4 linked regions of the Coturnix japonica genome follow. Each later gene encodes a partner of the first gene's protein in a complex. Links are inferred from orthologs where the notes say so. Each region holds a gene or a part of one and is shown in the gene's direction. Other genes may lie near its edges.

Region 1 (8,655 bases):
GACTTCTGATCCACCCAGATCAGTTTCTTACGTATGAAAGAAATTAGAGTTGTAAACATTACTCCTCATTCAGATACATATCTTAGATATGTTTAAAGAGTAACAATTCTTTTTCAGCTGGAAGTAAAGATTTAAACTATCAGTTTATAGAAACAACAATGGAAAAGAACCTCAACTGGCTATAAAAGCAACTTATTTCCTATTATCTATCAGAAGCCTCTGATTTGGGAAACATTGCACAAGGCTTAATCCATGACTCTCAGTCCGGAACCTTTTTGAGAAACTTTTCCTTCAAGTCATCATAGTGTAAAATATGGACAGACTTATTTTATGCCAATCAGAGACTTACCAACATTCTGTTGAGTGACTGAATGAGCCCAGCCATTGAAGCCAAACATCTCATTGGCCAGACTGATTACCTTGTGACCTTCAATGTAGCAGACCTGAGAAGAGAAACATACACGTATATATATACACATACACACACACACTCTTTACTTTAAAGAAAGATTACATAGATTATCTTGCCCTGAGGAAACCTGGCTAAATTCAAGATAATTGAATGATGATGCAGATTTAGGTTCACCATCTGCTGACAACTGTGATGGGGGTAACTGAATGAATATGCCAGAATTAAGGGGAGCAGAGCTAGCAGGCAATAAAGAAGTAAAACTGAGCTAATGTCACATCATGATTCATATACTCCAGTTCTAGAAGAAGAAAAACATCTCAATGTTCCTTCCACAAGTAGGAAGAACCACTGAAAAGTTAAGTGGCTTTTCCATAAGAACATAATTTTAAAAAATAAGGATTATTATTATTTTAATAATTCTCTTGAGGGGAAAAAAATGCAAGTTAAAACATCTATGCATCTATGTATCTATTCATCTATGTATCTATTCATCTATGTATCTATTCATCTATGTATCTATTCGTACCTTTTGTCCTCCTCCAGCTTGCCGACTGCTGATATATTCTGGGCCCAGTTTCTGACGAAGAGCATGTTGGATGGCTTGATATTCATTTGCTGTATATTGATACTGGATGGAAACAAAGTAAAACAAAATTTCTCATTCTTTCCATATTAGCTATCCCTCCTCTCCTAATATTACTTCATAAACCCATTTTCCCTGTCCTTGATATCTTTAATGATGATTTGGATGAGAGAACTGAATGTACCCTCACTAAATATGCAGACAACACCAAGTTAGGGAGAAATATCAATCTGCCTGAGGTTAGGAAAGCCCTAAAGAGAGATCTGAACATGTTGGATCAGTGGGCTGAGGCTAATGGGGTGAAGTTCAACAAAACCAAGTGTTGAGACCTGCACTTTGGTCACAACAACCCCACACAATGCTACAGGTTGGGGCAGAGCGGATGGAAAGCTGCATGGAGGAAAAGGATGTGGGGGTGTTGGTTGACATTCAGCTGAACATGAGCCAGCAGTGTGTGAACCAAGAAGTGTTTAAGGAAAGGGTAGATGTAGTACTTAGGGACACAGTTTAGCGGGAGACATTGGTGACTGGTGGATGGCTGGACCAGACCTAGAGGTCTTTTCCAACCAATTATGATTCTATTCATCATTAAGCTCTAGAAAATGTTTTCCATTTCTCATAACCATCATTTACATAAAAGAAGTTAAATGAGGCAGGTCTGGTAGTATCCTAGTGAAATCTTAATGCAATCATAATCCTAGTCAAACTTGCCAGGAATACACATTCACATTTATATCCGATCTCTCAAAACTAATACGTAATATTTCACAAGAAAAGTCTTTAAAAACTCAAATTAAACCAAAGTTTATCACCACATTCCATCAGGACAACAGCCAGGGTGATGAATCTAATTAGATCATTACTGAGGAGTGTACAGCATATTCCCCTACTGCAGGGAAGGTCCTTCAGATAACTCCAGTATTACATCACCGCTCTATGACTCTAACCTAACTGTATCCATCTTTACAATGAGCAGATATGTGAAGGAGATTTCCAGTAATGCAAAAATGGAACTTCTATTTCTCAGGCAAAGGGAACTGACCTGTCCGAAACAAGCAACTGAACTGCTGCTGCTGGTACTGCTGCTGCTGACATGGCTTTCACTGTCCTTCCCTTGCCTTGCAGGCATCCCTAAAGACCAAAGAAAATACCATTATTGAAAATAAGAGTCAACTATCCATAAGAAAACACATCACGATAGTCCACTGCACACTAAGTATAACAATATACTGCAATATATTGGACAATACAGTGATACCATTCATACTTCTGTGCGTATGTCTGTGGACCAGCTGGAGATTTGTTTTCTGATGCTGTTTTACAGCAGCTCAAATTCTTCTTAAAAACATTATACTGTGCAATAGACAGAAACGGGCAGAAATGACAATCAGCTTCATCCCAAAGGCAGATGTGCTGTTCTGCTCTTGTATAAGAACAGAGACAGCAATTAACATGTTGTAAGTCGTTATTCTAAGTACTGAACGGGTAAAAATGATGTGTTTTTATTCCTTGTAGACACCCATGAATGCTGTGCCAATAACTCAGTAGATGGCACCCTTTTCTAAGTCAGCACCCAACACGTACCCGATGGTGACTCGGCTGTGCTGCTTTACATCCTGAGTCACTATTTATTCTAACAGCTGGTGAGAACGAGCCGGATGATGCCATGAAGGCTGGTTCCTCACTTAACTCGCCTCAAACGTTAACGCTGGGATAGATAATCAGCTGTTTGCAGAAGAGCCACAGGGCAGTGCTGACACATTAGCAATACAAATGCCCTACTCTAAATCTACCTTTAAACGCTCAAAGGAATGAACTCGTACGGCCCCACCGACAGGGGCTTTGGACGCCATACCTGGATGCATCCAGGCCGCACACCCTCCTCCTCCTCCTCCTCCGCCGTTCGCAGCTCCCGCGCACGCAATGGGGCGGTGGAAGCGGGCGAGGCTACGGCGAGAGAGAGGGACAAACATCCCGCGGGCGGAGACGGAGGGGAGGGCAGGGCAGGGCAGGCCGGCTGGGGGAGGCGGGGCGCCGCGCGGCCGTGAGGGGACGCGGGGGGGAGGGAGAGGAGGAGGAGGCGAGCGAGCTGGTCGCGGCGCTGACGGGCAGGTGAGGGGCCCCGCTGGGCAATGGGGGCCGCGGGAGGGGACGGCGCCGCTCGGCGGCCGCTGGGGGGAGCCAGGAGCGGGGCGGGGCCTGCGGGAGCCGGTAGCTGCGGGCGGCCGCCGGGCTGGGCAGGGGCTGCGGTGGGGCCTGGTGGCCGGCGGGAGCCGCTCAGGTGGGTCCGGTTCGCTCCCGGGGGGCTGCGGGGCGGCAGGGCCGGGGGGAAGGCTGGGGGGGCGGATGAGGGGTGCGGGGCCTCGCCGCTCCGTGGGCCTCGAGCGCGCTGTCACCGCCCGGGGCTGTGCTGTGCTGTGCCGTGCTGGGTTGGGCTGTGCCGTGCCGTGCTGTGCTGTGCTGTGTTGGGCGGCGGCAGCAGCACCCCCGGGCCCGGCTGCCCCCGCTGTCCGGTCGGAGGGGAGTGGGGCGCGTCCCGCCGGGTGGTGCTCAGGGAGGGGGGTGGTTGTGGGGCGGCCGTGGGGCTCCGCTTCTCTTCCTTGCGATCGTGATCCGCCCCTACTTGGTCAGCGTGCCCTCGCCAAGCGTCCGCCTTCATTGTCTCGGTGCCATCAGCAAGGTAATGGTGCCGGCCGCCTTTCTGCCCCGAGCAAGGCGAGCTGTGATTTCCGCCCCACCTCTGGGCATGCCGCGTTCATCCCACGGAACCTACTACAGCGCCGAGTGTCAGTTGACATCATGCTTTGTTTCTGCATCTGCAGCCATCCTGAAGCGCGTGTCGGGAGCTGCTGGCTTTCCACATCTGTCTCGTTCCTGACGTGAACCTTAAACCTCAGCAATGAAGGCTCACGATGCCTTTTGCTTGGGGTTTTACGTGCGACTTGGAAGCCCGTGTTGTGGTTCGTGCTGATGGGGTGTGAAATGTTCTGGGTAAAACCCTGATGGAAATGGGGAGGTTTAAGAGACGGGAAAGCAGAAAGAAATGTCTGCGGAGCTAAGGGAGAAGCAGAAGCATAAAAGATGAGAGAATAAAGGCAGATTCCTAGAAATAGAATGGGTGAGGAGAACAGTGTTTTACATCTTATTGAAGCTTGTTCCAGGGCAGGGGGGGCATGTGAAGGTAGGTGGGGTGATTGTCGCTGAATAATACATTGCCTCCAAACCAACAGGTTGTAACAGGAAAAAGTTGTCCAGTTTGGCTGCAGGGTTCTGATTGTATTAAGATGGCCAACCCAGTTTGGATGTCTGAACAGTAACCTCCACCATCTGCCTGCCCTCCTTTTCTCCCAGAGGGTACTGCATCGACAGCAGGAACATATATCTTCTCCTGAGCTCCTGCAGCCCACAACCTGACAGATCACTGTGAAGGTTTTGGTATCTTGTGTTCAAGGCTGATAAAGCTGAGATTTGTGCCCCAGTTCAGGGTCGCATATGAGTCAGCACCCTTCAAACAAGATTAGAAGAGAAAAATTGTCACCTTGTCTTGTGCTGTTGTGAGAGGAGTTGGTAAAGCAATAATCATTTTTTATCGATAATGAGGTTTTGGGATTAAACCACTAATTATTAAGTAAGTGAGATTGCTGTCCTGACTATATTTCAGTTCTGGAAACTGAACTTCAGTACTTCAGCACAGAACAGCAGTTCCCTGAATAGTCAGGTTTCTGATTTCACTCCATCACCCAGAAATACAGAATTGTCTGAGTCCATCAAGCTGTAAGGGGAGGGAGCTGCAGCTAGAAACAGGTCTGGATCTGCTGGCTAAAACATGAGTTTGTCATAATATTTGGTATAGTTTGAACTTTTCCACATTGCCCAGCAAACCAGTGTAGCTGTAATGAAATCACTCTTAAGGCTCTTAGCCGTTTTTCCTGTTTGGCTTTGTGTTATCTGGGTGATAACACTTTTTGTCCCCTCACCCTTCCCCGTTATCAAACTATTTTGAATGTGTTCTCCAAAATGCATCTCTTGTGTTGTTTGCTACGTTGGCAAAGCCCTTTGGAAACTGCTAATAGGTCTACAAGGTCTGGCTCTACCCTACTGTACTTACCTGGTCTACAAGGTTGGGCTCTTACCCTACTGTCAGAGCACTCAGGTGAGGAGCACCTGGTTCAAGAAAGGGGATGTTTGCTACTTTAGTGAAGGAGCACACCGCATCAGGCAGCGATGTTACCTGTGGTGAGCTGAGGCTGTCTGCCTGAGCAGCTTCATTAGTGTTTCTATGTACTTCTGGGCTTCTGAAGCACCTTTATCACTCTTAGGGTTGTGTATCTTCCTGATTGTGCTACTGGGAAGTGGGTTGTTGGTCACATGCTGCCTGGGGGAAAGGGAGAAACAGCCCTATACTAAGCACACAGTATTTATGTACTGTACTCTAAAAGTCAGGCTACAAAGTCTTCAGCCATTCATTGACAGCCAACTGATGTCTGCAGGTCTTCAACCTTCTGTGTAATTTAAAGAGCAATAGTTATTTTAATGGGAGCTGTTCTGTCACTACCAAATTTAGGTGCATGTTGTGACTTCTGCTGCTTTTGTTTGCGTCTTTTTTTATAAAGGAAAAAAACACCACATGCCAAATGTTGTTGGTTCGGTCTCGTGTTTGCTTTCCATTTAGAGGAGTCAGCTCCCATTCATTGCCCAATGCAAACCCTGATGTGCCCACCAAGCCCATGTGTATGTATGTGGAAGGGACCCTTGGGTCTCGCCTACCTCTGGTAAACCCAAATGGTTGATGATTTGAGGGTGCAATTAAGGATGATTCATGATGTTTCCGTGTGCCTGCCACCTTGTAACAAAGTCAGTGATATAAAGGAATGAAACTGTGGTGGTGAATGTATACCCCTTCGTGCCTTTATTATATCCAGTAATTAGTGGAATTATAAGAAACAAAACCTGATGTCAGTTGAAACCTCTTTTGCAAACAAGCTGCTATGGAGCAGAGCGTGTTTTGTCATTCTACTCCTATCTTGCCTGGGGAGCAAATAGATCTCGTGCAAGGAATTTTATGCTTGAGAGAGGCATAAGTATCCTAGGAAGCTGGTGAGTAGTTCTGGTTCATGTTTAATCTGTTACATCTTCTAAGAATGCAGGAGAAGAATGGGAAACAGAACGAAATCTATAAAGGACAGATAATGAGAATGCTTCTGTGTTGTGTGGTGGTTTAAAGTGCATGCATACCACTAATGCTCACTTTCCAAATTTGGAAAGCTTGGAACAGGAGCGTCAATTTCTGTTTAGAAATAAAACCCTTCTTTAATAAATGGCTGTTGAGATTATTCCTTAGAATGTCAGGGTCAGAGTTCAGGGATGCCTGCTTTTAATATGACACAGCTTCCAAAATGTCACATCCACATTCTCAGTGACTTTTGAGGTTTTTTTCTTTCAGGAAGACTTCTCTGTCTACAGAGAGGTGGGGGATAAAGCATCCATCTTATGTCTATTGGGACAGAACAAGGGCAGTGTTACCTTCAGTCAGCTTGACAGGTGTTCAAGTTGGTAAACTTAACAAATAACTATAAACAGGCATGGACATAAACAGATGTTGGTGCTTTGACATCCACTATCTAGGGATGAGAGTCAAACATAACATGAACAGTTACTTTTTTGGTCTTCTTTCTGTCTTAGTTTCATTAATTGCTTTTGCTTTCTTGCCGTTCAGGCCATGAGGATAAAGATTATTTTATATGGATAAACAAGTCTGAATTCCATGGGTTCATTGCTGTGTATTCAGCATTGAGTGGCTTGAAAACAATTTCCAAGATAAACTTTCTTCTGCCCTTTTTCTGTGTAGCAGTCACTAATTTGCCTTGAAAACTGGCGAGCTTTTTAACCTCCCAAAGCTAAAAGTCAAATGTAGCAGATAGATAAAACTAATACCTTCCAGGCCTGCAAGTCAAACAAGATGACAGATACTCCACATTCTTTATAAAAAAGTCATTTCAACCCTGGCATTTGTACAAGAAAGTCCAGGTCCCTCTGCATAATCCAGTCAGTCTTGATTAACTATTAGGATATGAATTATGAAAAACGAATACCCTTGTAAATGAAGCTCAATGTTTCTGTTACGCTGCAGTATCAGGTGAAGATTGCTCTTGTAAAGACTGATTTTGTTGCTGCTGTAGAGCTGATGTTCAAAGCTCTTCTAATGCAGATATGGATCGGTGCTACTGGGCAGTTTATTCTTCTGGACTAAGCGTATGGCTGCTGGTTGACACAGGAGGCATCACTGTGCTTTAAGATGGCTTTTTCTATTATTAATTCTTTAAACACCTACAGCTTATAATTCTTCCTCATAATCACAGGGAAGGCTTCTTGTATTGACAGAGAAGACTGAAGGTTTTTAAAACCAATTTGCAAAGCCAGAATGGTCAGTGCGTTCAGGTCACAGTTTGACACTGTTCCCTGTGGTTTCAACTGTCCCGTAAGGTAAAGAGATGGTTTAGCTGTGAGTAAATTTAGAATCGTAGCGGAGGAAGAAAATAAATAGTGTTATTTTGGACTTTGGGAAGATAAGAAGCTGCACTTCTGAGACTCCTAGCAAAATGTTAGTGTGTGGCTCGGAACATTGAAGAACTGTAGCTTTTCTGCTTATGCTGCTATATGAAAGAAGTCTTCCATGTAATTCTGCTTGCATTACTGGAAAGAAGTTAGAACTTTCATCTTGCTGATTGAAGACAAGAAGCGACATTTCTGTCACTTGTTTCACTTTGCTATTTCCAGGATGAAAGATGGTTTTCCTAGAGTGAATTGTCTTAATATCTGTGTCTGCTGCCGGATTCCTAACGGCACTAAAATGAAAAGGCCAGTGATGAATACAGCTGGAAAACAATCCCGAAGGAGCAGTAAAAATGATTTATCTTGCCGCGTGACTTTTTCCCTTCAACTGTGACAGGCTTCTGTGTCGGTGAAAATACTGAAACTGGCTTCGTGACTGTGTGCTTCTTGCGTGTCCTTAAGCACTTACTAGGTGATACTTCTGCATGCAGCCTTATTGTGTTCTTAGCATCGTTTAAACTTAATGCTTTCAGAGGGGAAAGTGCTTTAACGAAATGGAATAAAACGTGTAATCTTTTGTTTTGAGTTAAAACTTACTGAAAGCTGTTGAAGTGAATGAGTGTTGGCAGTGATTTATTGAGGTGAGTTTCTAGCAGATGAGTTAAGTGTTTTGATTTGGGTTAATTCTCGTGAGAATCCTTGTGAACACAAGCTCTCAGTTGAATAGAATTTACGTAGTGTCTCGGCAATGTCTAATTGTTTTGAGTTCTCAATGGATGCCACAGCAGCATTTTTAGCATTTTGGTGTTTAAACCACTGAGATTAGTCTGAAATAGCTTTTCTCTTCGGAAAAAAAGTGTTTTTCTTCTAGACTGGAGCACAGCTTCTTGGTTATTGAAGTTACTCCGCTGAAACACTGCAGACTTTGTTGAGTAGTTTATACTTCTGTGCTGTTTTGCATGTGGTTGACATAGAAAAAACTTCCTATCTGAAACTAGACTCACAGAATGGTTTGAGTTGGAAGGGACCTTTAAGATCATCCAGTTCCAATCCTCCTGCTATAGGCAGGGACATCTCCTTCTAGGCCAGGTTGCTCAAAGCCCCATCC
Region 2 (8,040 bases), about 11 Mb from region 1:
CTGTGTGTGACATTGTCTGACGTGCTCAGGCAACATCTGTAAGCACACAAAAGTATGCAAATGCTGTGGTTGCATTTCATGCAGCTTTTTACTGTTCAGATTGCTGTCAGTTAATGGAAGTAGGTGGAATGTTTTTCTTCTCGATGAGCCAAGGTTGTTTAGTTATCTATTCATGTGGATGCCTAGCATAAGAAAACCACAGCAGCTTTCTTTGAAGAGTATTGCAATTTTAAGAGCCAGCTTGTTTGAAAACAGGATTCATTATTAACACTTGCATTATGTATTTAAAAATGTACAGCACGCTGTCAGTTCCTCGCTTTACTGCCTGTCAAGTGTAGCCAACCAGTACTTCTCTGGAGATATAAATGAAAACTGAACATTGCAAATATTATTTCCTTCTTTGTAACAAAGAAGAAATCAGTCACACCATGGGCTGTATAAAAGTTATTATTTTATGCCATATTTGCTTGTGTTTTGTATATTCTTTACATTGGATTGACTACCTGATGTCATTTTGCTGTTTAGTGCACTTCAGACAAATGTGTAGTACTTGTTGCTTACATAGAGTTTTCATGTTTGTTGGCTTTAGTTTATTGAATCTGCATGTTAGTATAAAAGTAGGAGGCATCTTGTTTCTTCTGTTAAATCTTGGAGATCTGATGCCAGTAGGTTTTGCTGAGCTTAATCTTGTGTTGGGAAGCTTTGTCACCGTATTGAGTGGGTGAGCACTGAGTGTTGGTAAAATGCAGCATAGGCAGCAATGTGAAGGATCTTCACGTTACTCTTTTTTACTCTACACATTAGTCTTTTTTTTTTTCTACGAAAAGAGAAAGAAATCTGATGGGTGGACAGAAGAGGGATAGGCAGTCGGAGCTTTGCCTTTGAACTAGATAACTCTCTCTGTCAGTTTCCTTTAAAATTAGGTCAGTAGGAATTTTTTCAGACAGTGTTTAACCATCAAGTTCCAGCAGCAGATTCTATGTAAATAGTCAACTAAGTACAAGTGTATGCAGTGTGAAAGAAAACTTCTAAAAACCGCGTGGTAATTCACCTTTACTCAAACTAAAATAATGAAATAACATGAAATAGAAACTCTAATCTTAAGTTCATCATAAAGTTAGCCAAAAGCAATGAACTGTTTGGACAAGCAAAGAATTTAATCTTCACTTATTCTGACAAAATCATGAAGCAGTCCGCTGTTTGTAGCACACAAGTGGTGTTAACACATAGCTGTCTAGATGAACCCCAGCATGAAGATGTGTACATTCACTTGTCAGCCAACTTGCACCAACAAAGTACCAGACTGTGAGACACTTAGTGACATAATAAGGATTAAGTTATAACTGAAGTTAGCAGGAATGCAGATCTCACAGCATGTGACCACTTCTGCAGGGTAGGGCAGGTTCTTTGTTTGCAGCCCTTCCTAGCGCTGCAGATCTGGATGATCTGGGAAGTCTCGCCAGGCTGGTACATAATCCTTTGTAAACATTTCCCATGCCTGAATTCCGTGAATGAGAGAGAATCTGATTGTTTTGGTTTTGACACGCTACACTTCTGGGGCTAGATACTGGAGTGAAACCAAAGAGAGGCAAAATGTGTCATTGCACATATTGCAAAGTTGTCAGCAGGTCAGGATGTTGGGTTGTACCAACAGCATTTAGTAACCTGTGAGCCTTGTCTAAACAGTGTCTTGTTTGCTGTTGTTCACCATGTGTGTCCATGTGAGTTAAGTTGTCTTGGTTGCCAAAAGTCTCTCTCCCAATTCTCAGTGATTTAAAGGAGCTCTGAGACCAAGGAGGTGTAATGGAGCCAGAGCAAAACTGCTAATTGCTGCTGTAATTGCGAAGGGGGAAACTAGCCCTTCCCAGCTTTCAACATCTGAAAGCTCCTGGTCCAGCCAAAGGCTGTGACTGGTTCAGGGAGAACAGGCTGTGTGAGGCATTCCTTGATGTGGCAGAAATTGTCCTCGGGAGATGTCTGACTCTTTCTGTGAACGCTGGTGGGAGCTGAAAAGCTGATCTGTATGAGCTGTAAAATGAGTTCTTCTGTGAGATTAATGTTTAAGTAAAAGTTATTGGGAGGATTCAGATTTTAGAGAAAGAACTGGCTGCTTTTGTTAGTATCACTGATGCTTTACAGGGGGGAGTGCAGGGTTGTATTGTGCAATGCTCTTGCCCAGCCATATGTGAGAAGGGATTCATCCTTACTGAAAATGACCTGGCTGTGCAGTTATGCCTTACAGTGCCTTGTTGTAGAGGTGAGCTCCAGGCCACCCACGGGATGGATGTCTTGACATTAATCCCTTGTCTCATGTATTTAAATTCTAGAATATACTAGATGTGACATTTTAAGCCACAGTCCAAAGCTGCTGAGGAAGCTGTGTGTTGGTTCCACTGCTAAGTGCTTTCGTGTGTATTAAATCCTCCTTCCTCTTCCACAGGATGACTTGCTGTCCTTGAAGGTTGTCAGCGTCCTCCACCACCTCAGCATCAAAAGAGCCATCCAGGTTCTGAGAATAAATAACTTTGAGCCCAACTGTCTGCGCAGGAGGCCATCAGATGAGGTACTGCTTCAAGATAAAAGTGTGAAGAAGAAATCCTGTATGGTTTTCTCCCTATGTTTCTGATTATTTCTCCTCTACCCTTTCCTCTCATATTGGCTGCTTCCTATTTTATTTTGTGTCAGCTTTGGTTTCTTTCTTGTCATTTTATTCCCAAGTTTCATGTCCTACTGAGGCTACCTGGAAAACAACTGATTTTTCCTTCACCTGCTGCAGCCCCAAGGTCATGTCTCCTTACCAAATCTCACATTCCTTCTTGCTAACAACTGTCCTTAGTCTTTGATGTAGTTTCTTCAAAATAAATAGTCCCAAACTTGGTGCACAGCTTCTGTCAGGCTGGTATAACTGTGAAGTGTGTGGCCATGTCAGAATTTTCTCTGTAAACAAGTTTGGTCTTATCAGACAAGAAACTGCCACTGATTTGTGTTGGAAGGAGTATATGCCAGCTATGGGAATGGATGATAAAGCAGCTCAGAGTCTTGTATTTAGATTCTAATGCATATCTGCAAAATAACGCCAGCTCATGGAGCTAGCTCTCAGCTCTACTCGTAGAAATCACAGCTAATCCTAGTGTGCAGCAAGATCTTCAGACTGCATGAAACATGATACAGACCTGTTCACTGCACTCAGGAACACGGCTCGTGTTGTTTGGCATGACAATCCTGCAAGCAGAGCAGGAAAGATGATCGCTTCCCAGTAGGATAAACACAAGCTAGGCTGCTGTGATAAGCTCTTGGCTTGGAATTATTAGAAAGATACCCTGTTATGAGTGAACAGTACTTGAATCTGACTGATTTCAAGCCCTTCTGCCTTGATGGAAGGCTTTAGACTTTTCCTGTAATGAACAGGAAAGTAACAGAAAGGTAGCTTCATATCAGTGTCACCATCAGCTAGCGTCAGTATTTTAACTCCTAAGTGAAGAATCAGCTTAAGAAACTCAGTGAAGAGCTCAGAATGCTGTAAACTATATGCAGTGCAGAAATAAAAGATTTCTGTTGAAAATGCGATTTACATCTGCTCCAGAATCTTTGATCCAGTCCCACTTCAGTATTGTTGCAAGATAGCAATCCAAAGAAAGTGAAAATCTTTCCTTTCTTTTTTTTTCTCTCAAGAGCAAGGTGGGATCATATGCATAAAGGGCAGGAGAGGTTTGTTTCAGTATAGACTGGGGCTGGGACATCTGTGTTGGGAAGCCTCCTTACCTGCCTGTTCCTCCTGTTCACAGAATAATGTCACACCTTCTGAGGTCACCCAGTGGACCAATCACCGCGTGATGGAGTGGTTACGCTCTGTTGATCTGGCAGAGTACGCACCTAATCTGAGGGGGAGTGGTGTGCATGGGGGGCTGATGGTAAGATATTCACAGGCTTACTTTATTGCTTTAAAATAAATTGCGACTGAGAATTATGAGTTCTATAATCTTTGCTGCACAGATACTTACTTCTGTCTTCTTTCTCTTCTTAATAATAAGTTGCTGTCGATATTTATTACCCAATAATTTAAAAGACACAAATGGCTTGGACAAAGTTTGTTTGGAAAGCAGTGAATTTGTTTGCCTGTGTCCCCTTCACAATTTAATGGCATTTTCTACCTCCTAGCCTACAATACTAGCATGCTATTACACAACCACCATTTTCCTTCCTGCACATGAACATGCTTTTATTTTGTGGGGAAGGCTTGATTCTTTAGGAAAATCAGTGTTAAAACAGCATTGTTTTTAATTTCTCTGGCATGAGATAGATGCTCCAGACATTAGGCTTATGCATGTAGAAGTTCAGAGTGGTTGAAACTTTATCCCTTTTCCAGACATTTTATGTTTGTTTATTTTCCATCATTCCTTTGACTACATTTTCCAGAATTGAGGAGGATGGTGGATAAACATTTTGTTAGAGCTTTTCCATATCATGTGATCTAAGCATGAATTTAGCTCTTCCTTATGTGCCAGTTTCTTTCTATTTATAACTCAAGAAAGAAGGGCTGGAGATAGCATTTTATGAATCCTTTAACTTTTTTCTTCATCTTCATTGCATGTTTTCTCTAAAATAAAAACCCAAAGCAACTTTAAGAAGTGGCTGAGCCACACATCCCCATCAATGTCCTTGAGACCTTATCAAACAGTGCTGACTTCAACTGGACTCTGTGGTTCTGTTAATAGGTTTTGGAGCCACGTTTCAATGTAGAAACCATGGCCCAGTTGCTGAACATCCCACCAAACAAGACACTGCTGCGACGGCACCTAGCCACTCATTTCAACCTCCTCATTGGGCAGGAGGCCCAGCAGCAGAAACGTGAAGCCATGGAGTCCCCAGACTATGTCCTCTTAACAGCAACTGCCAAAGTTAAGGTAGGCCACTTGTTCTGGGTTTGTGTGTGAGCTGCTAGGTAAACATTTAGATCTCCAGCGTACTAGTTTTATGCATTCTTGGAGGGCTGTTCAGTAAGCTTTGAGAAACAGGGTCAGCTGCTAAAGTGAAAACAAACAAAAAAAAAAAACATTAAAGCAGGACTCAGCAGATAAGGGTTTGACTCTTACGTCTACTATGAGCACACCACATCTCAGCTCCTCATATGTGCCAAAGAGAGATAGAACTCTTGTGGGCTGTCCATCTGACAGTACGATAACGTGTTTGGGACAGAGGTGTTCTTTTACTGTATATATGCTTGTGGCTGTGTGCAATGGGATTCTGATAACATTTGGGATCCTTTAAATGTTATTTTTGTAGTAATGATGGAATGAGGGGGTGCATCTTGTTCTTATGGATGTGGTTATCTGGAAATACAGCTATTGAGAAAGCTGTTAGCAGAGCACTGTAGTCTTAACCCTTCAGCATTTGCTGACATTGAAACACCGGCTGCAGAGACATCTCTTACTTCTTTGCCGACTCTAAGTTTTTGTGAATTTTCTCTTCACTTGTAAGCCAAAGAAACTTGCCTTCAGCAATTTTGGGAGCCTGAGAAAGAAGAAGCAAGATGATGTGGAAGAGTATGTGTGCCCTATGGAGCTGGGGAGGGCCTCTGGAAGTGCACTGAAGAAAGGTTTCAAGGGTGGCCTGGATATCCGAGTATATGATGATGATGATTTGGACAGGCTGGAGCAGGTAAAACTGTTCATAGTCCTTGACTGTGTTGTTAGATTTGGTGGGAAGCCTCTCTTTCACAGTGAAACCTTTCCTTTCCTTTGGCTTGTGAAGATCCTCAGTTTTGACAGTCACAAAGCACTACTCACAAACACAAACACGTCTTAGCCCAAGAACTGCAAGCTGTGAATGCAGCGCCTGTAAGACTGTAAGACTGCCTCTGACATAACTTGTCTTCTGTCCTGACAGGGCACGCTCATCCCTCTCTCTGAGTATGTGGGCTGTAATAAAGCATTTGCATTATTTGCTGAACTTAATTGCCACTGCATGCAGGGGATTCATTATTCATTCATTATCCATTATCTTTTTTTTTGCAGATGGAAGATTCAGAAGGGACAGTGAGGCAAATAGGAGCATTTTCTGAAGGCATCAACAACTTGACAGTAAGGCTTAAAACTGTGATCTGTAGAATAACAATTCTGGTTCTGTAAAATGAGTTTGACTCTTTCCTCATTTCCTTTCTAGCACATGTTAAAAGAGGACGAAATGTTTAAAGACTTTGCAACTCGCTCTCCTAGCACCAGTATAACAGATGAAGACTCCAATGTGTGACAGCAACCAGCAGGCACTGATGAAGGCTCGCTTCCTATGTGCAAGAAACGTCATCACGAGATGTGATGGGCAGCAGATCATACACATTATGTCGCTCTTGCTTCTGTTTGTTAGAAGTAATGCTGGGGGGTGAACAATTTAAAGAACTGAAAAAAAGAAAAAAAAAGGTGCCTAGTCTAAAGTTGCCATAAGAAACACCCAGACACTGGTGAATGGAAATCGTTTTTACTCTATTTAATGTACAAACTGGTGATATGTTTCAGAGTGTTGCATTTAAATTGACGTGGTATCATAGTCATGCTCCTTTTTCTTATTCGTGTCCTGAGATAATCCTTTGTATTGTTACAAAGTAAAGCAAATTGTTAGGTAGAAAAGCACCGTGCTTGTCCTTGTCAGTCAGCTTTCTGTAGGCCCTGAAATGAAGATGTTACTGCTGTCTTTTTCAAAGTCCTATTCCCCACACAAATGCTAGTTCTGCCCTTCCCTTGGTATCCAACGTAGGATTTTAGTTCTCTGTGCCCTGCATAATCTCACCAGTAGCTCTTCACCATTGCTTTTATTTTTATACTGTTTTATAAGAAATAAAAATAATTAAAAAAAAAAAAAGAAGTATATGAAGTACATCTAAAAGCAAAACTATAAATTTTGTGACATAGAGTAACGGAAAGTTCAAGATAAGGGGAAGGGGGAGAGAACTGTTAGAGATTATCCCAGTTTGCACACCAGCTGGTTACTGGAAAAGGCAGGCTGACCTTTGGAACTGTTTGCTTTCGTTGCTTTTTTACTGAGTTCACAGTTAAATGATCTTCCATTTGGGGTGGAGAGGCTGTGAAGCGTGTTTCCTCTAGCAGTGACTCCTTGGGAAGCTGCTGCTTTCAAGATGTCTTCTTGTTCCCGGCGGCAGTGATTTTATAGCGTTCAAACTCAGTAACGCTTCTGTGACTTAAAAATGTTCTGGAGAGTTTTTCTTTGAGTTGAGGGTACTCCCTGCACGTGGAAGGGATGTTTCTGTGCTGTGACTGATGTGAGGATGGTGTAGTTGCAAGCAAATAAAGTTATATAGAGAAATGTATAGGAAATATATTATTTCGTTATATTAAAACTAAGGTGGAACTTTTTCCTTAAAAAAAATCCAAATATCAAACGTGTTGCTCATCATTTTACCTTCTTAGAGCATAACTATTTTTCCTTGAGGGTCATCAGATTTTAGAAACATTATCTAGCCAGTGGAAGTTTTTTTGTCAGGCTTTCTGTATTGCGAGGTGTCCCAGCCAAAAGCAAACAAAAAGCATCTCTGTTTATTACAGCGGTCTTTTATACAGTGTTGAACATTGCATGTATTTTAGCACAATGGCATGAAGCTTCTTTGCTTTGTAACAGGGAAAAAAAGTCCAGCTGTGCTCCTTGTGGATTCTGTTTGGTTTTTACAAGAGTTTGTCTCTCGTTTCATCACTGCCCGTGCTGGAAGTGAGACCACGGCTGACACACTGATGTGGGGTATAATGGATCTTGGATCTGTGCTGGTCCTGTGGCTAGGGAAGGAAGGAAAGGGATTCCATGGACCTTGCACCAGGTGTTAGACCAGAGATGTGTTCCAGCACTCTGCTGTTGTAGCCTTATGAGCTGTTAACAGTCAGGTTGGGGTTTTTTAATTACTTTTTTATTATTTTTTAATTATTTTTTTTTTTAAAGAAGTGCAGTTTGGGTTAATTTTCATGTGCAAAGATGAAAACTGTGATGTGGACCAGTTGTGTTATATATGCAATACCAAGTGCTGCCGTGCTTTCTTCA
Region 3 (7,341 bases), about 27 Mb from region 1:
GATCTTGTAGCCTGTCTGCCCTGACTGCAGTGCAAGCCTTGGGAGACAAGTGGTCTTCTGCATTTAAAATGAGTTGCTGTGCCTAGACCCTCTAGGTACAGAAAACAGGCATGCTCTCTTTAGTGGGCAGAGGTCCCAAGTCGCTCCAATTTGTTTTCCCAGTTTATCCTATCTGTCTTAATGCAGACATAGTTCTGCACTGTGACCAAGATTGAGGCACTATTTCCTGTGCTGCTCTGCTGTCTCTTGCAGAGGGATACACTTCAGTTACCCATACTGTATTGCTGACTGCAAACCAGATACCACGTTTAACTAGTTCATGTGCAATTCTGTTTTGTTTCCAGCAGTATTTGTTAGGTTACAGTTCACTCTTTCTTCCTAATTTTCCTGTAATAGTATGTTCTTACTATTTATATTTTACATTAAGATACCATCATACTTAAATGTAGATACTTCTAGCCTAGGGAGGTGATGGGTTTGCTTAACCTCATGCCAGTGAAGTTCTCACAATCCATCTAAAGGAGTAACACTCCTTTCACATTTAATTCATACTCCAAACCAGCCATTCCGTTTTGCCAGCTTATCAACTGATGATTTCAAGAAATTTCCATGCTCTAAATCCACTTCTATAAAGTTCCATACACTTCTTAATAGTCATATTTAAAGGTTCTTTCTGATATCTTCATTGTGAGAATGTACGGCCAGTTGACACTTATCTCCTTGTAGCAGAAAGAGTGAAAGAGAAGTGAAGGCTTCCATTAAAATAATAAGATTTTCTTTTCTTCGTTTCAGGCTCGTCCACTGACTCGCTATTTGCCCATTAGAAAGGAAGACTTTGATCTACGAAGTCATATCGAAACAGCTGGTCACAACATAGAGACCTGCTACCACGTCTCCCTCACAGAGAAGACCTGCCGAGGCTTTCTGATTAAGATGGGAGGGAAAATTAAAACGTGGAAAAAACGATGGTTTGTTTTTGACAGAAACAAGAGAACTTTTACGTATTATGCAGGTAGGTTGCAGGATCAATGTTAAATGATAATGCAACTTCAGCTACCAAAGAAAACTTCTCCTAAGTCTCAAGGACCCAACAAACACTTTGATAAGAATTCTGTACCAGCTAAGCAAAAATGCAGCTGCTTCTATGAGTGACGACCTGCCCAGACCTTAGTTATACAGTAGACTTCCAATATAAATTTTGGTGCTGTAAATTCAGTGTAATTGAATTCTAAGTACTGGTAGGTTGTTTTAGTTCTACGAGTCTACTAAACCGAGCACTTGCCCTAAAATCTGAAAATCTAGTGCAGTTGCCTGTGCTGCATAAATAATATATTTTGCTGTATAGTCTTGTATTTAGCTTTTCATAGCATATGCTATAATGTCATGGTCTTATAGCTCAGTACTTTCAACGTCCTCTCTTGGGGGCTGTCAGGGGGATTCCCAGCACAGTGTCATTTGGTTTCTGGGATTTCTTTTTGCTATTAATCATCTAAAGCTTTGGAAACTGATGGCAGCTACTGATAGGATTTAAGCTGAGGCCACAAGCATTCAAAGTGACAGCAGAATCTCTCATGTGACTGATTAAGATCTTCTGTTTGGTCAGTGCTAAGGTGATACTAACATGGCATCACAAGGCATTACAGTCCCCGTGTACAAGAGTAGTGAGCATGGGAGGAAGTCTTCCCTTCAGTATTGAATGCAGTTCTGCTGCTCCAGGACACTCTCTGGGAATACTTAACATTGCAGTAAAACAGAAGATACAGAAGATAGGGAGAATTATAACAGGAAGAAGCATTTTAAATTGTAAGAGTAAATGCTAACTGAATGTAAGGCTTTTGCTGTCAAACTGTATTTCAAATTTGCTTTTCATAGTGTTCCTCTGAAGGAAAACCGTAGACCTTAGTCTGCTAGCTGTGTTGTAAGACTTCAGTAGTATCTGAAGCCTGTCTGGTTTTCTTGGAAGTGGAAGATTGGATGCATCCCAGGTTGAAACCTGGCTGAAAGGTTTAATTGCTTCAGTGAGGGTCTGCCTTGAAAACAGTTGAATTGCAAAAGCCTTATTTCCTCAGAAAGCGGACAGAAAAGAAGAGCAAGCAGGAAATGCATCTCTTGAGAACAAAGATTTTGGGGTATTTCACAAGCAGAAGTGTTAATCCAGTTACTTACCTGCCAAACGTGTGTGAAAATGCAGAATAACATTTTGCCTCTTGAAGTACCATTCATTTCAGTTTTCAAGAGCTGTTCTCTCTTTTCCATTTCAGACAAACACGAAACTAAATTAAAAGGTGTAATTTATTTTCAAGCTATTGAAGAGGTCTATTACGATCATCTAAAGAATGCATATAAGGTAAGCTTTGTTATTTTGACCGAGTATCAATCATATGGCAGTACTCTGAGTATAGTAACTGCAGTAAAATCAAAGGGAATTGACGTTATAAAAACAACAAACAGAAAACAAAGTGGAGGCAAAGGAAGATGAGGCCAGAGCAGTGACAAGCATTGTTTGTTTATACTAGTGAAGCAGAGATAAGAGAGAGCCTTCCTGCCATATGATGGACCCACATTGGCATCTGCTGTGAGGAGTTCCATCATCTGCTGCCAAGACCACTAAAATCAGTAGCTCTGGCAAAGTAAGGGGTGGCTGCATGTGACTACCATAGGGAGGGAGGTACGTGCTCCCTGCTGGTCACATCTGTAATTGAGATGTCAGTCTGAATATGAACAATCTGATTATCTTTAATATGTGGATTTGTGAAAGCCAAAGCAGTTTTGATCACTGGACATAATCCCTGCTCAAGGGGACTTGTTTGGGCATGAAGCAGCAGTTCGGATGCCTGTATTGCTGTGTGATAGTCTAATGGAAATATTAAAGCATTTATACTGGATGCATATGCTATGAACACATCTTTGTTCCCAGTGCTGCAGTGTAGGATGCGATTCCTTTCTCTCCCCTAACCCTGCCCTAAATCTCCATGTAAGTAATCTTATTTCTGTTGCCAATTTGATTTTTCTTTGTTTTGACATCCTCCTTTCTGCTTCTTTCTTCTTTTTAGAGTCCCAACCCACTACTCACTTTCAGTGTTAAGACACATGACCGAATATACTACATGGTCGCTCCTACGCCGGAAGCCATGAGGATATGGATGGATGTTATTGTTACGGGCGCGGAAGGCTACACCCACTTCATGTTATAACAAAATGGGGCAATAGGGCATACTGCAATAACGTTAACGTATGAAGTTAGCCATATGTAGTAAAATCTGAAAAGCCACATAAAATACCAGTGAACATTCTGGAATATCCTCCTTATGATGTGCAGCCAAAGCCTCGGAACGGAAGGGTTTTCTAAATGCATTGAAAAGGGGGACTTGCTACTTATTTTAGTTGATCTTTGTAGAGACAAAAGAGCTAAAGCTGTTGAGAAAGTCAAAGTGCTCCAAAACAAATAAACCGGCCACTTAACATGACAACATCTGGATTCAACGCTGATTTTGTACCAGTTCTCTTAAACAGAGAACGTCTTCATCAACAGTTGACGAATGCGTGTGCTCTCATCGGTATGCAGAAATTCTAGTAACGAAACAAAAAAGTGTAATAGCATATATTTTAATATGCAGCAATTGATGTTTATAGGTGAGTAGGTGACTTTTAAAAAACTTTTAGTCAAGTATTTTATGAAAGTATGAATTAAACAGCTGCCCTAAGGTACACACAGTTCTTGCCTTAGTAGTTAAGTATTACAACAGAGCCAAAGAGTTATATGACTCCCTTATTGTAATATTTCAGATTGTTAGCTGTATTTAACTTCCTGTAAGGGGACAGTGCCAAAACTCTTCGTGACTTGTAAAGCAATTACATTTTTACACAACTATGTTAAACCACCCGGTGATACCGACTGTTAAGTTTAAAGTCTGTATCTATGAAGCTCAACAAGAAAAGGACAGTGTTATACAGATGGATTTATCCACAAGGATACGAAATGGAAACAGAGATTAACTTTGTCATTAGGAGGACTCTTGTCATCTTCTGTGCTGAATGGACTGAGCTGATTCTGGACCCTGCAGCGATTTTATGTAGTCAAGTCCCACCTGATGTGGTTCTGAACGTTCTCTGTGCCAAACAAACACTTTGCTGAAACCTCAATTGTTGGTCTCCATGAAGCAAAGACTGAAGTATCTACCTGTCCAAATTCTTTGTTTTTAGCCAAGGAAAAGTGTATCTACTCAGAATAATGCTATCAGAATTAAAATAGAAAGACTGGCTCTGAAGGTTTACGCTGAGCAGCGTATGGATGAAAAAGCATGAAAATTTTAAGCACTGGGGATTGAGGTTCCTAAAACAATGAAAATAAGGAGGATCCAGTGGTCTCCTATTTAAAAATCACTTAAAATTTCCAAATCCTTGAGAAATATTGCAAAACTTAAGTGAATTGAACTTCAAGAAAGTCTCTTATTCTTTGACTTTAATGAGGTTCTATTTCAGTAGTCAATACTTGTGCAATGTAATTTGTGTAATAAGAGAAAGCACATTAGACCTTTTCCAAGATGAAAAGCTAATGGCTTTTGATGAAGCAGATGAAAAACTGAAAGCAAAACAAGTTTGCTGGCAAAATATCTTTGTTGTACTCCCATGTCTGTTAAGAAGGGGATGCATTCTTCCTTGTGTGATACACACAGGTGATATGGGTTGCTCTGCTAGCATGACATCGGTCAGTTTTGACTGGAATCAATGAAAGAAGGGACAGTTATCACAAGGTAACTGTTATCATCTGTGCAGATCACAGCTTATAATCCAACCATTTAAAAACACTATCAGAATAAATTCCTTTGGTATCTGTAATTATTATTTTTCCCTGACGTATCTTGATTTTACTTCTTAGCATAGTTATAAAGGTTTTCTAATCATGATTTTTGTATCCTGCATGATGCAATGAAGGCATTTCAATAAATGTTTTTAAAAACACACTTTTAAATGCTCGCTTGATTCTTGATGTGTTTCTGCTTGTCTTCTCATTATTTTATACGCTTGTGCAAGCAATGTTGTGTGGTCCCACAGCTTCCCATACATCCCAACTAACTGCCATCTTGCCACCTTGCTTTATGATGTATAGGCACACTTTCACATTCCTAAAACATCATCCAGTCTTTCACTCTCTATGGCTAATTATCTAGAGCCCGACTGAAACAGAAAACCATTACCTTGATGTTAGAACCGCTGTTCCAACTCCCTTCTGAGAGATAAAATTCAAATTCAGTCTGTGATTTTAATTAAATAAATGAATGTATGAGTGAAGGACTAAAAGGATGTGACAAATGAGAAGGTTTATTATTCAAACATCTTATTTCCAGAGCTATCAGTCTATCAACTACCAACTGATGCACCTGTAGCCGGGTGCTGCTGTCCCTGCTGCCTGCAGAGAGTCCTGCACAGACTGGGAACTAAAGAACTAAAGAACGCTTTTCTTTAGTTTGGTTCCCATGCTTTCGTTTGATATTCTGGAATCCAACAGAACCAGTGATGCTCCTGAAGCCGTTTGAATCACACCCCTTTCTACAGCATTAAGTGCTTTATCTGTAAGGGAAAGGTTTGATGTAGAGATGGTGTCTGGATGCAGGACTGGGGCGTACGCTGAGTTTGAGGGCAAAACTAAACAGACAGGAGCTGTTTGCTCCCTCACAGATGAGAGGTCTCGATGGGCAGCCCTGAGGTACGTACAGCACCCGCTCACCACAGCAGCCCATGGAGCGCATGCGGAGGCGCATGCGTGTGGAGGCGGACATGGCGGCGTCTTTGGGGCTGCGGCGGTGCAGTGGCTGCACCTCAGTCCCGCTTTTGGGGTTGCCGCTGCTCAGTGCGGCCCTGGGGCTCCCGGGTAAGGAGGGGCCCCGGGTGGGAATGGAGCCGCTCCGCTGCCTGAGGAAACGCGAGGAGGAGGGGGCGGGTGTGTTGGTGCGGGGTCTCACTCTTTGGGCACTGCTGCCGCTGGGGTAGAGCGGCTGGAAAGCTGCCAGGGGTAAAAGGGGCGGGGGGTGTTACCTGAGAGCGGAGTGTGCGACGTACAATCCTCTAATCTTAAAGATTAAGAGGGTTAGAGTCTTATCAGAAGTCTTGTCCAAGCTTTCAGTTTAACACGTTATCTTGCTGAGAGGGATAATAGAGTGGATTAATTCCTTGTAACGCCTCTCTACAAACCACTTATCTTCATCCACAGTAGAGGTACAGCTGGCTGCTGAGTTCAGCAGATCTTTGCCTCTTTAGGAGATGCATGAGAAATGTATATTTCCACAACAGTCAACTCTTTCTCCATATGATTTGTATTTAATACTTTTTTTTTTTTTTTTTTTTTGTATTTACAGAAAACACAGCTTGATTTTTTAACCTCCTGTGTTTTGTGTCTAAGTGCTGTTAAGATGAAACAGTGCTGAGGATCTTGACTCAGAGCTTATCACCCTAATTTTCAGTGTTACTGACAGTAGTCAGCATGTGACTGATGTTACTGCTAAGCACCTTCAAATCATTACATTACAGTATTGAAGAATGTAGAAGACACTTCTGTTTTTCTTTTCTCCTGAGCCTAAGTACTGTAATTTCACATAACATACATATATTTCCTGAATTCTCATTTTATAAAATGCTATTATTTCTGCCAGAGCTGTCTTAGTGGTGGTACTTCATACCTCTCTTTATTAGTTTGCAGGTGGAAGTCGTCAGTCAGCTTTCTTACTCGACCTGATCGACCAAATCTAGCCTACCGTAAGCTGAAAGGCAGGAATCCAGGGGTTATTTTCCTTCCAGGCTTCCAGTCAAATATGAATGGTCAGAAAGCAATTGCCCTTGAAGATTTCTGCAGCTGTCAAGGTCATGCCTTCGTCAGGTACATTGTTCTTGAGAATATGAAATAGGTATCATATGTTGAGTTGGGTGTTTGATTTGTAGTGCATGCTGTTCTGTACACAAGCTCTGTTTAATTTGTGTTCAGCAATACTGCTGAGTTTTATTTTCTGTGTTGTTGTAGGTAGTACCACAACTTTTGATGATTGGTTTTTCAGATTTGATTATACAGGATGTGGAAGTTCACAGGGGAACTTTGAGGAGTGTACAATTGGGAAGTGGAGGAAAGATGTTCTTTCTGTACTGGATGAACTTACAGATGGACCACAGGTTGTATTTCATCCTTAAATATAAAACATGTTTTTTTTCCTGAAGGTGGAATATTGTGTAATCAAAAATACACTGCAGTAGATCCTGTCTAGAATAGCTTCTGTTTAACGGCTTGCACCTTCTAGCTGTCAAGCAGGCCTGTTTGAAATGACATTATTTGTAGGGCTTCTTTTGCAAACA
Region 4 (8,040 bases), on another chromosome or scaffold:
TTTAATTCCTCTTTAAAATTTCTATGTATTTACCTTAGATTTCTTTCTGCTTTTGGAGCTAGGTCCTTAAGGATTTTCTTTCATGCCTGTCTTTTAAAAAAAAACAACAAACAAGTGTCTTTTACCAGTAGTACTTCGTTGCTAAATTGCTTTGTCTTGGGTTAGTAAACAGTTAGTTTCTTGTAGGAGGCTGAGGTGACCATCTGGAGAAATGCCTCAGTAAAAGCTGAGTGGCTTACAGTGTTGTATTCAGGCTTCAATGTGTGTTTACTTTCTCATGGATTCATGTTAACTCAGTTCTTATCCCTAAACCTTTGGGTATTTTGAGAGTTGTAGAACTGCCTACTCCTCAGTTCATTAGAAATTCAGCTTTTTCTTTTTCCTTCTTTTGCATTCTCGGGGGTAAGAAAAATCAAGTACTGTAGTACAAATGTAGGCACTACTGGTTCTGGTCTTCTGGGTTAATGGTGAAGATGCTTCCTGTGTGATCATAGAATGATTTGAATTGAAAGGGAATTTACTTGTCCTTGCCATGGACAGGGAAGTCAGTTGTCTGACATGTAAGTCTGCAAACTTTTCATTCTAGCTTTTAAGATCACTATTTTCAAGATCACCAGCTGCTCCCAGTACTTCTGACTCTTGTTATGGGCCTTACTGTTAAGGTTGCTCTGACAGTTTTCATACATTTGATTTCTGAGAAGCAGCTGATGGCTTTTTTTTTTTTTTTTATGGTCAGTGTTGGGAGGGATGTGTTAGAGTTAACTTGAAACCGCTCTTTACTCCTCAAACCTGGACTGCATTCATGAATAATGAGAAAATTTAGCTGTCCCTCACTGTCAGCAACAGCTTCTAGAAAAGTATTGCCGCAACTCATTCTTCTGTGATAAATTGGAAAGAAACACGCATATAAAAATTTGAGTACTTTCCTTCTAATCATTGAAGCTGTTTTCCCAGAATGATTTGTTTGTTCACTTACGAAAGCTTATGACATGTTTAAAATGCAAATAGTGGTATTACTCATCTCAAGGAAATGCGTTTAGCAGAACTTTTTGGCAACTTTGAAAAGCAAAGAATACATGAGGTGGTTATAAATTTAGTATTAGAAGGGGGAGTTTTTTGACTTTGGTTTAAAATCATTTACTGTGGTCATGTTAGTTTAAAATCTTTTTGATTGTTGTAGCTCTCGGGTGATTCTTAATTTGAATTTGGGAACTACTTTCAACAGATTGTAGTAGTTGTAAGTGTCTTTACTGGAGCTATTTAAAAGTTGCAACATAATTGTGAAGAAAACAGCTCTTGCGTTATAGTAATTTTGTTAATCAGACAAGTGAAAACAAAATGAAAATTCAGTGATGATAGCCAGTAGTACCTTATTAACCAAAACACTGAACAAATTTAAAGTTCTTTAGCTGCATAGTTATTATTTGGTGTCTTTCTTTCTTGATCAAATAAGGTATTTGTATTGAATTGGATATAGAGTTTCTGCTGTTAGTAAATCCATTGTTTACAGGGCTGCATATGTAAAAGGATATGCTTTCAGATGTGATCAAAGTGAAACAGCAGGAGCAGTAAGCTGTCTGGTAAATTAAAATACATCTGTAGAATATGACCAAAGTTTGTTAGTAGCTCTTACTGGTTATGGTTTAGGAGTGGTAAGCTTTTATAAATAACTTGTGATATGTTTTGTTTTAGAATTCACTTCTTCGAGAAATTGAAAATGCAAAAAAACAAATAGAGGAACTTCAACATGAGAAGGTATAATATGTATTTCTGCAATGTTACATTGGAAAATAATTGCTGTGTTGCCTCATAGCAGAAGCAGATTTGGCTTACCCCTTAAAGCTCAATATTATTAACACTATTTAGTCCAAAAATACCAATTTTGTGGGCTGGTGTGCTTTATTTTATATTAGTTTGCTTCAGTTTTGTGATGTTTTTATAGATAATATTTTTTTTCTCAGATGTAACATATATATATATATATATATATATATATATATATATATATGTAAAGTGTATAACAAATACATGCAAAGAATATGCATGGATATATTAGCAATTTGCTGAAGTTTAAAAGATTACATAGCATTTTATTTTTTTTTATTGTTTATACGTAAAACTATGAACAGTAAGAGAAAAAAAAAGAAATACTTTAACAGTTGGTATTTTCCCCTGGATGTATACTTGAAGCAGTGGATGTTGTAAGATGCCTGTTTGATAAAGCTGTCTTAAAATTCTGAGAGAGATGTTTATTAGACTTAGTTTTCAATAGTGACTGGCCCTGTAACTGGCAAATTCACTTCTTGAATAATAGCATTGGGGCCTTTCATTTCGCTTCCTTAAGCAGTGATGATTCATTTTATGATCACCTTGTTCTGAAATAATACTATTGCTTATTAAATCACAGGCGTACTGCATTTTCCCAAATCATTTTAGTAAGTAGCTAGGCCAAACTATTAGGGGCTGTGATTTTTGTAATAAAATGAAGAATATATTCAGAATACTTTATGGGATGTGCTTTGAATTTTTATGTAGGCCACTAGTTTTCACACAAGGCACAGATGTTTATCATCAGCCACTTTTCATAGTCTTTTATTGTTTTCTCATTTATTGCTTTGCTTTGTTCAATTCCAAGTTTTTGCAGCATTTATGGGTGCTAGAGTTAAACGTGGATGCTTTTAGGACTTGTTTTTCACATTGTAGAGAACCAAGAGTTATCCTTGGGGGCCCTTTTGTTATGGTGCTGCACTGTGTAGCAGTAATCATTTTGGTTATGTGTTGTTCAAGGCTGTTTTAAATCTGGTTACATTTGAGTTTCGTAACAATTAGATCAATGGACTAAGTATTAGCTTATAGATTTAGGATATGAGGCTGAATTTTTTAATGTATATTGTTACATATTTTCTATCTTTATAGGATAAACTTGTCTTAAATATTGAAGCATTAAGGGCTGAAAATGACCAAGTGAGACTGAGAGCCACGTCTCTTCATCATAGGTACGAGCACTTAATTGTAGTTCAATTATTTTTTTTCTAATTTCCTGAAAGGAAAAAAAAAAAAATCCATCCTTTACCTATTATAAATGAAAACACTTCAGTTGTAGCTATAAAACATACTTTATAGAGCAGATAATGCAGCTAATACACCACTTCAAAAAAGAAAAAAAAAGGCTTTACAAAGCCTGGGTACAATAAAAATCGTTGGGGTGGGTTTCTTAGTTTGTTTCACTCTTCTCCTCATCTTGCTAATGGTAGTGTTTCTTCCTGTCTTAGCCGACCAGATTTCAGATACCCTATGACATCTTCATCTGTGGCTGACAGTCATGCAGACTCTTATGGCACCTCTTCTGTGCTGAGGCGTCCTCAGAAAGGCCGTTTGGCAGCTCTCAGAGATGAGCCTTCAAAGGTAATAGAACTCTGAAAGGAAGTGACAGCAATCGAGTATTTGGCAACAGATTAAATGAGTTGAAGTTAACCTGTTGCAAGGAGTTGGTGGAATAGGATTACACAACATTAAAAGGGCTGGATCTTTTATATGGAAATATGTTTTATTATGTGCTTGCTTTTAGTGAAGCAGAATATCTAATACACAGCTACTAGGCTGTATAATTTTATTTCAGACTGCAATTTTAGGGCTGTAAAGTCCAATTTGCTTTAAGTATGATAAATCTGTGCAATATAATATGAAAGAGTCTTTCCTTTGTGTGTCTGCACTTTAGATTTCAACTTTGGTTCACTAATCTAACATTCACCGTCCTACAACCAAGTCTTGCAAGTTCTCCTTTTACATAAAGCTGATTTGAACGTTTTCATTGTGTTTGTTAGCAAAAATCTGTTGAGGAAGTATATAGCCAAGATAATGGTGTTTTAACTATTGGGTCTGGCTGTTTTAAAACTGTACTTATCCATAAGAGGCCAAGTATCTGCATCATAGCTTTTTGTTTTATGTTTCTCTGAATATCACTGTCTTTATAGATGCATTCCTCAAGCAAGTGGACTTTAAAAAAAAAAAAAAAAAAGGAAATTTAAACACCTTGAAAAATAGTAGTGTATTGGCAGTAACTATGCTGGTACTAACAAGAATAGCAATTACAAGGAAAATGGTGGAAATACAGAAGGTATAAGGAAAAGGGAACTCACCAGAGCTGAGGTGATCCTCCCTGGTGAGCGATCTCCAAGAGATGCTGCCTCAGTGAGGGTCAGCCCTTAAATGAGGTCTCAGAGGAGGTGGAGTCGAACTCCACCCCTCCAGGGAGCACAGCTACATAACTTTCACCTGTGCTCCCACAGCTGACCCCACACTTGCCTCAGCTGATTAATCAGTGGTTCACACTGTGATCTCCCATACAAGTAGAAATATCACTTTTCATATCTGAGATTTTGTTTTTAATTCTCTTTTAACAGGTTCAAACTCTGAATGAGCAGGACTGGGAGCGAGCTCAGCAAGCAAGTGTATTGGCAAATGTGGCACAAGCATTTGAAAGCGATGTCGATGTGTCTGATGGTGAGGATGACAGAGAGACTATTTTCAGTTCAGTTGATCTGCTGTCACCAAGTGGTCAGGCTGATGCTCAGACTTTGGCCATGATGCTTCAGGAGCAGCTGGATGCAATTAACAAAGAGATTAGGTATGGCATATTTGCTGCTACATTTTTACTGAAAAATTATGTGTGACAGAAGAATTCCTTTTTATACAGTTACTCACAGAATTGTTTGCTCATTCACTTTCCTTTGAGGGACTGGGAGAGTGGGAATTGATGAACAAACAAAAAAAAGCATGGAGTGCATTTGACTTAAGTATTCCTTTCAGGTCTTCGGTCTCATTTGTGGAAGGGATTGTATTGCCAGTTGGGCAAAAACCCCTGCATGGTGGTAATAGTTGTAGTATTTACAACCTCTTTTCAGATTGGATTACCAAATTTTCAGTGCAGTTGTTTTGTCTGTCAAGTGCCGCTGCTTTTCAAAATGCTTGAGTGGGCCGTTCTCATTATATGGTACTTGTATGAATGCTATGTTCCTTTGGAACCCTTTTTTCTTTTAGGCTTATACAGGAAGAAAAGGAAAACACAGAACAGCGTGCAGAGGAAATTGAAAGCAGAGTGGGTAGTGGGAGTTTGGATGCCCACGGACGATTCCGATCCATGAGCTCCATTCCTCCTCCCTACGCAAGTGGTTCCCTTGCTGGTTCTTCCCCACCTGGCAGTGGTCGCTCCACCCCAAGGCGGATTCCGCATAGTCCAGCTAGGGAAGTGGACAGACTAGGTATCATGACACTGGTAAGTATTCACTAACTTTATTTTTCCAAGGTGACTGTTCCTTTTCTGTAGGAAATGCATTTGATTCTCCCCTTCCTCTGCTTCTTACTTAACTCTATTTGTCCTTTCTCTTTTTATTTCTGCTGTGTCCTTTCAACTTCTGTAATAATGATAATGAATGATTTTAAAAAAAAACAACAAACCCCAACAAAACATTGAGAACTCAATTCTACTGGTCAGCATCTCACACTGAAGTATTCCTTTTGCTATGATTTTTCTTTGTTACTCTTCCTGGAAGAAATGAATGTATTCTTTTTAACCCTCACTCCAGCAACTAGTTACTGTCTGTTTTAAACTTTACTTTTAGCCATCTTTTTTTTTTTTTTTTTTTTTTTTTTTAAAGCTAAATATTCAACTAAAGCTTAATTTGCACATCTTACTTACATCTTGAAGTTTGCACGATGTCACAGCTGTGATAGCATTGAGTGCTGGTTCCCTTTTCTTAGCCTATTAAACATGTTGGTAAATATGTTAGACTTAGAGGCTGGTGTAGTGGCAGCTTGGTCTTTGCAGTTCAGTGAACAGAGAAGGATGGATATACATTCTTTTGACCCTCCTACAACTACTTAGGGAAATTAATCCTTCTAGGAGGTGCTTGATGCAATAAGCCTACCTGTTAAAAAAAGAAAAAGACCAGTTTTCCACCTTTATGTTTATATGACTTTTAGACAAGTCTGTCTCCTTAATATACTCCTCAGTGAAACATGTTCCATATGTCAGAATTAAAAGAATACTTCTCTCTATAAACATTACTTTGTCTCCAGATTTGGAACCAGTACTTAATAGTTTTATGTGCAATATAATGGTTACTACATTTTGTCTTGGATTATTGCACTTGTCTCATGTCTGTAAGACTCAGTGGACAAGGCATGCTAACCAACACAGCAATGGCAGGTAGACTGCAACAGATTGATATATCTAATCTAGGTCTTTGCTAGGAGTTTAAAAAGGAGTACTTCTGCCACCTATTTTTCCAGCTTTTTGAAATGAATATGTAATAATTCTGTGTGTAACGCAAGGTTTTTTTCCATTAAAAAGGATCATTTGCCATTCTTGTATTTTAAAAAAAAACCACAACAACAGAGATTGTTATAACAGCTCAGATTAAGAATCCAGAGTCAAGCACATCTTTATTTTGTGTAGATTAAGGTGTTTCAAGCGCTGGAGTGCTTTATATCTCACAATAAAAAGTAGTTACCTAACTCCTGAGTACCTCTTTTAAAAGAAAAAACAGGTATAAAATAAAATAGCCATGTTTATGAAAATGAGATCAGAAGAATATTTTATCTTAATACATAATGCAGATGGGGGTACAAATTAAATTGCAATGGTATATTTGTTTTCATACTTTGGAACTGATTTATGAAAGTCTTTATTAAAGCATGTAGACAATAAGCAATGTTTCTAGAAATACTGAACAAAAGATTCCAGAAACTTTTGGAGAGGCTATTGGGAATTATCAGACAGGATGAGTTTTTACTGCATTAGTTTTGAGTATGATTGGCATCGTTAGCTTAATTAAGTAACTAAAGCAGTGTTTGGTAGTACAGTTAGCTAAAAACCCTTCATCTAGTTTAAAAGCTATCAGCTTAATTCTGAAGCTTATGTAGCTCTTTTCAGCAATTTGCATGGATCTCTTTCATTCTACATTGCAATCATTTTCAGATTTTTGTTCTGTTAAATTTAATAGAGGAAAGAGCCAGAAAATTGGGTATGAATCTGATGTTATTTCTCTCAGAACTTTTCTTATTTAGCTGATTCCCTACAGTCATAATACAATAACAAAACTTATTAATTTTGTGTAGTTTGCATCCATTCTAGTTGGAAGACGATTAGAAGTTGGTACTGATTTTAAAAACACCAACAGCAAAACAGCAAAATATATGAAGGCTGTTGACTATTTTACTGACTTCATTTTTGGTTTACAGTCTTTGAAATAATAAGTAGCCAAATACAATGATGGCAAATATCAGGTTATTCAGGCTAATAATAAGTTGTTCACCTAACTCAAGGTTGCTATCCCGATCCATGTGGTGGCAGAATTGAGAAGTATATAAGAAGTGAAATCCAGTGGGTGTTGGAGTGGATGGAAGATTAGGTAAAACTAGTAGCAGAATCTGAATTAAGCATTCCAGCACATTAAACTTTTTAAAAGGAGCAGTGTTATTGTGTCAAAATGAGCCATTGTTGGCACTCTTTCACAGTTATTGAAGTATGACTGGTTTTTATGGTGTATAGCACAAATGCAGAATTGGCTAAGGTGCTTGAAATAATGCTGCTGAGTTAAGTTCTGTGCCTGCTATTGTTATGTGTAGCTCATGTTGTTCAGGGGGAGAAGGAGAGTCCTTGACATAAGACTGGAAATCCTCTCTGTTTTAGAAGCAACAACTCATGCCCCATAATGCTCTACTGTTTCTCTTACTGAAGATAAATTGCGCATCTTGTGTGCTGGTTTCACGTATAGTACCACTATATCAGCTATAAATTTTGATTATTTTTCTTCCTTTTCTGTCTTCAGGCACACATTTTTAAATGCTTCTGTGATTTGAAGAGTGCTTCATTCTCTTTATGGTTTCTCTGTGCAGTTGCTGTAGTTGTTTCAATTCTTCCTAATATATTTTGTCTATGGTAGTTATTTCAGCTTATGCTACAGTTTACAATAAATATGGCTTTTCCAAATTTTCTTTGCACGCATCTTTCAGCCTAGTGATTTAAGGAAACACCGT

What was found.
Region 2: ERC1 (region 1) and PPFIBP1 share a complex: the UniProt entries of both Homo sapiens proteins name them as parts of the cortical microtubule stabilization complex. The link is inferred for Coturnix japonica from reciprocal best matches to the Homo sapiens genes ERC1 and PPFIBP1.
Region 3: ERC1 (region 1) and PHLDB2 share a complex: the UniProt entries of both Homo sapiens proteins name them as parts of the cortical microtubule stabilization complex. The link is inferred for Coturnix japonica from reciprocal best matches to the Homo sapiens genes ERC1 and PHLDB2.
Region 4: ERC1 (region 1) and PPFIA1 share a complex: the UniProt entries of both Homo sapiens proteins name them as parts of the cortical microtubule stabilization complex. The link is inferred for Coturnix japonica from reciprocal best matches to the Homo sapiens genes ERC1 and PPFIA1.

The regions. Positions count from the first base shown.
Region 1 is NC_029516.1:52,074,985-52,083,639, reverse strand, and holds the start of ERC1 (ELKS/Rab6-interacting/CAST family member 1), read left to right. Parts: upstream 1-3,020; 5' UTR 3,021-3,107; intron 3,108-3,176; exon of another isoform or gene 3,177-3,276; intron 3,277-8,655. Other genes in the region: DNA repair protein RAD52 homolog, read right to left, coding at 350-443, 939-1,040, 2,038-2,126, 2,851-2,968. UniProt on the Homo sapiens protein: Regulatory subunit of the IKK complex. Probably recruits IkappaBalpha/NFKBIA to the complex. May be involved in the organization of the cytomatrix at the nerve terminals active zone (CAZ) which regulates neurotransmitter release.
Region 2 is NC_029516.1:62,768,315-62,776,354, forward strand, and holds part of PPFIBP1 (liprin-beta-1), read left to right. Parts: intron 1-2,440; coding exon 2,441-2,563; intron 2,564-3,785; coding exon 3,786-3,911; intron 3,912-4,715; coding exon 4,716-4,904; intron 4,905-5,478; coding exon 5,479-5,658; intron 5,659-6,014; coding exon 6,015-6,080; intron 6,081-6,162; coding exon 6,163-6,249; 3' UTR 6,250-8,040. UniProt on the Homo sapiens protein: May regulate the disassembly of focal adhesions. Did not bind receptor-like tyrosine phosphatases type 2A.
Region 3 is NC_029516.1:79,413,473-79,420,813, forward strand, and holds the end of PHLDB2 (pleckstrin homology-like domain family B member 2), read left to right. Parts: intron 1-792; coding exon 793-1,012; intron 1,013-2,261; coding exon 2,262-2,347; intron 2,348-3,053; coding exon 3,054-3,194; 3' UTR 3,195-4,964; downstream 4,965-7,341. Other genes in the region: ABHD10 (mycophenolic acid acyl-glucuronide esterase, mitochondrial), read left to right, coding at 5,740-5,872, 6,691-6,874, 7,050-7,161. UniProt on the Homo sapiens protein: Seems to be involved in the assembly of the postsynaptic apparatus. May play a role in acetyl-choline receptor (AChR) aggregation in the postsynaptic membrane.
Region 4 is NC_029520.1:6,943,323-6,951,362, reverse strand, and holds part of PPFIA1 (liprin-alpha-1), read left to right. Parts: intron 1-1,692; coding exon 1,693-1,755; intron 1,756-2,916; coding exon 2,917-2,996; intron 2,997-3,272; coding exon 3,273-3,405; intron 3,406-4,403; coding exon 4,404-4,627; intron 4,628-5,040; coding exon 5,041-5,275; intron 5,276-8,016; coding exon 8,017-8,040. UniProt on the Homo sapiens protein: May regulate the disassembly of focal adhesions. May localize receptor-like tyrosine phosphatases type 2A at specific sites on the plasma membrane, possibly regulating their interaction with the extracellular environment and their association with substrates.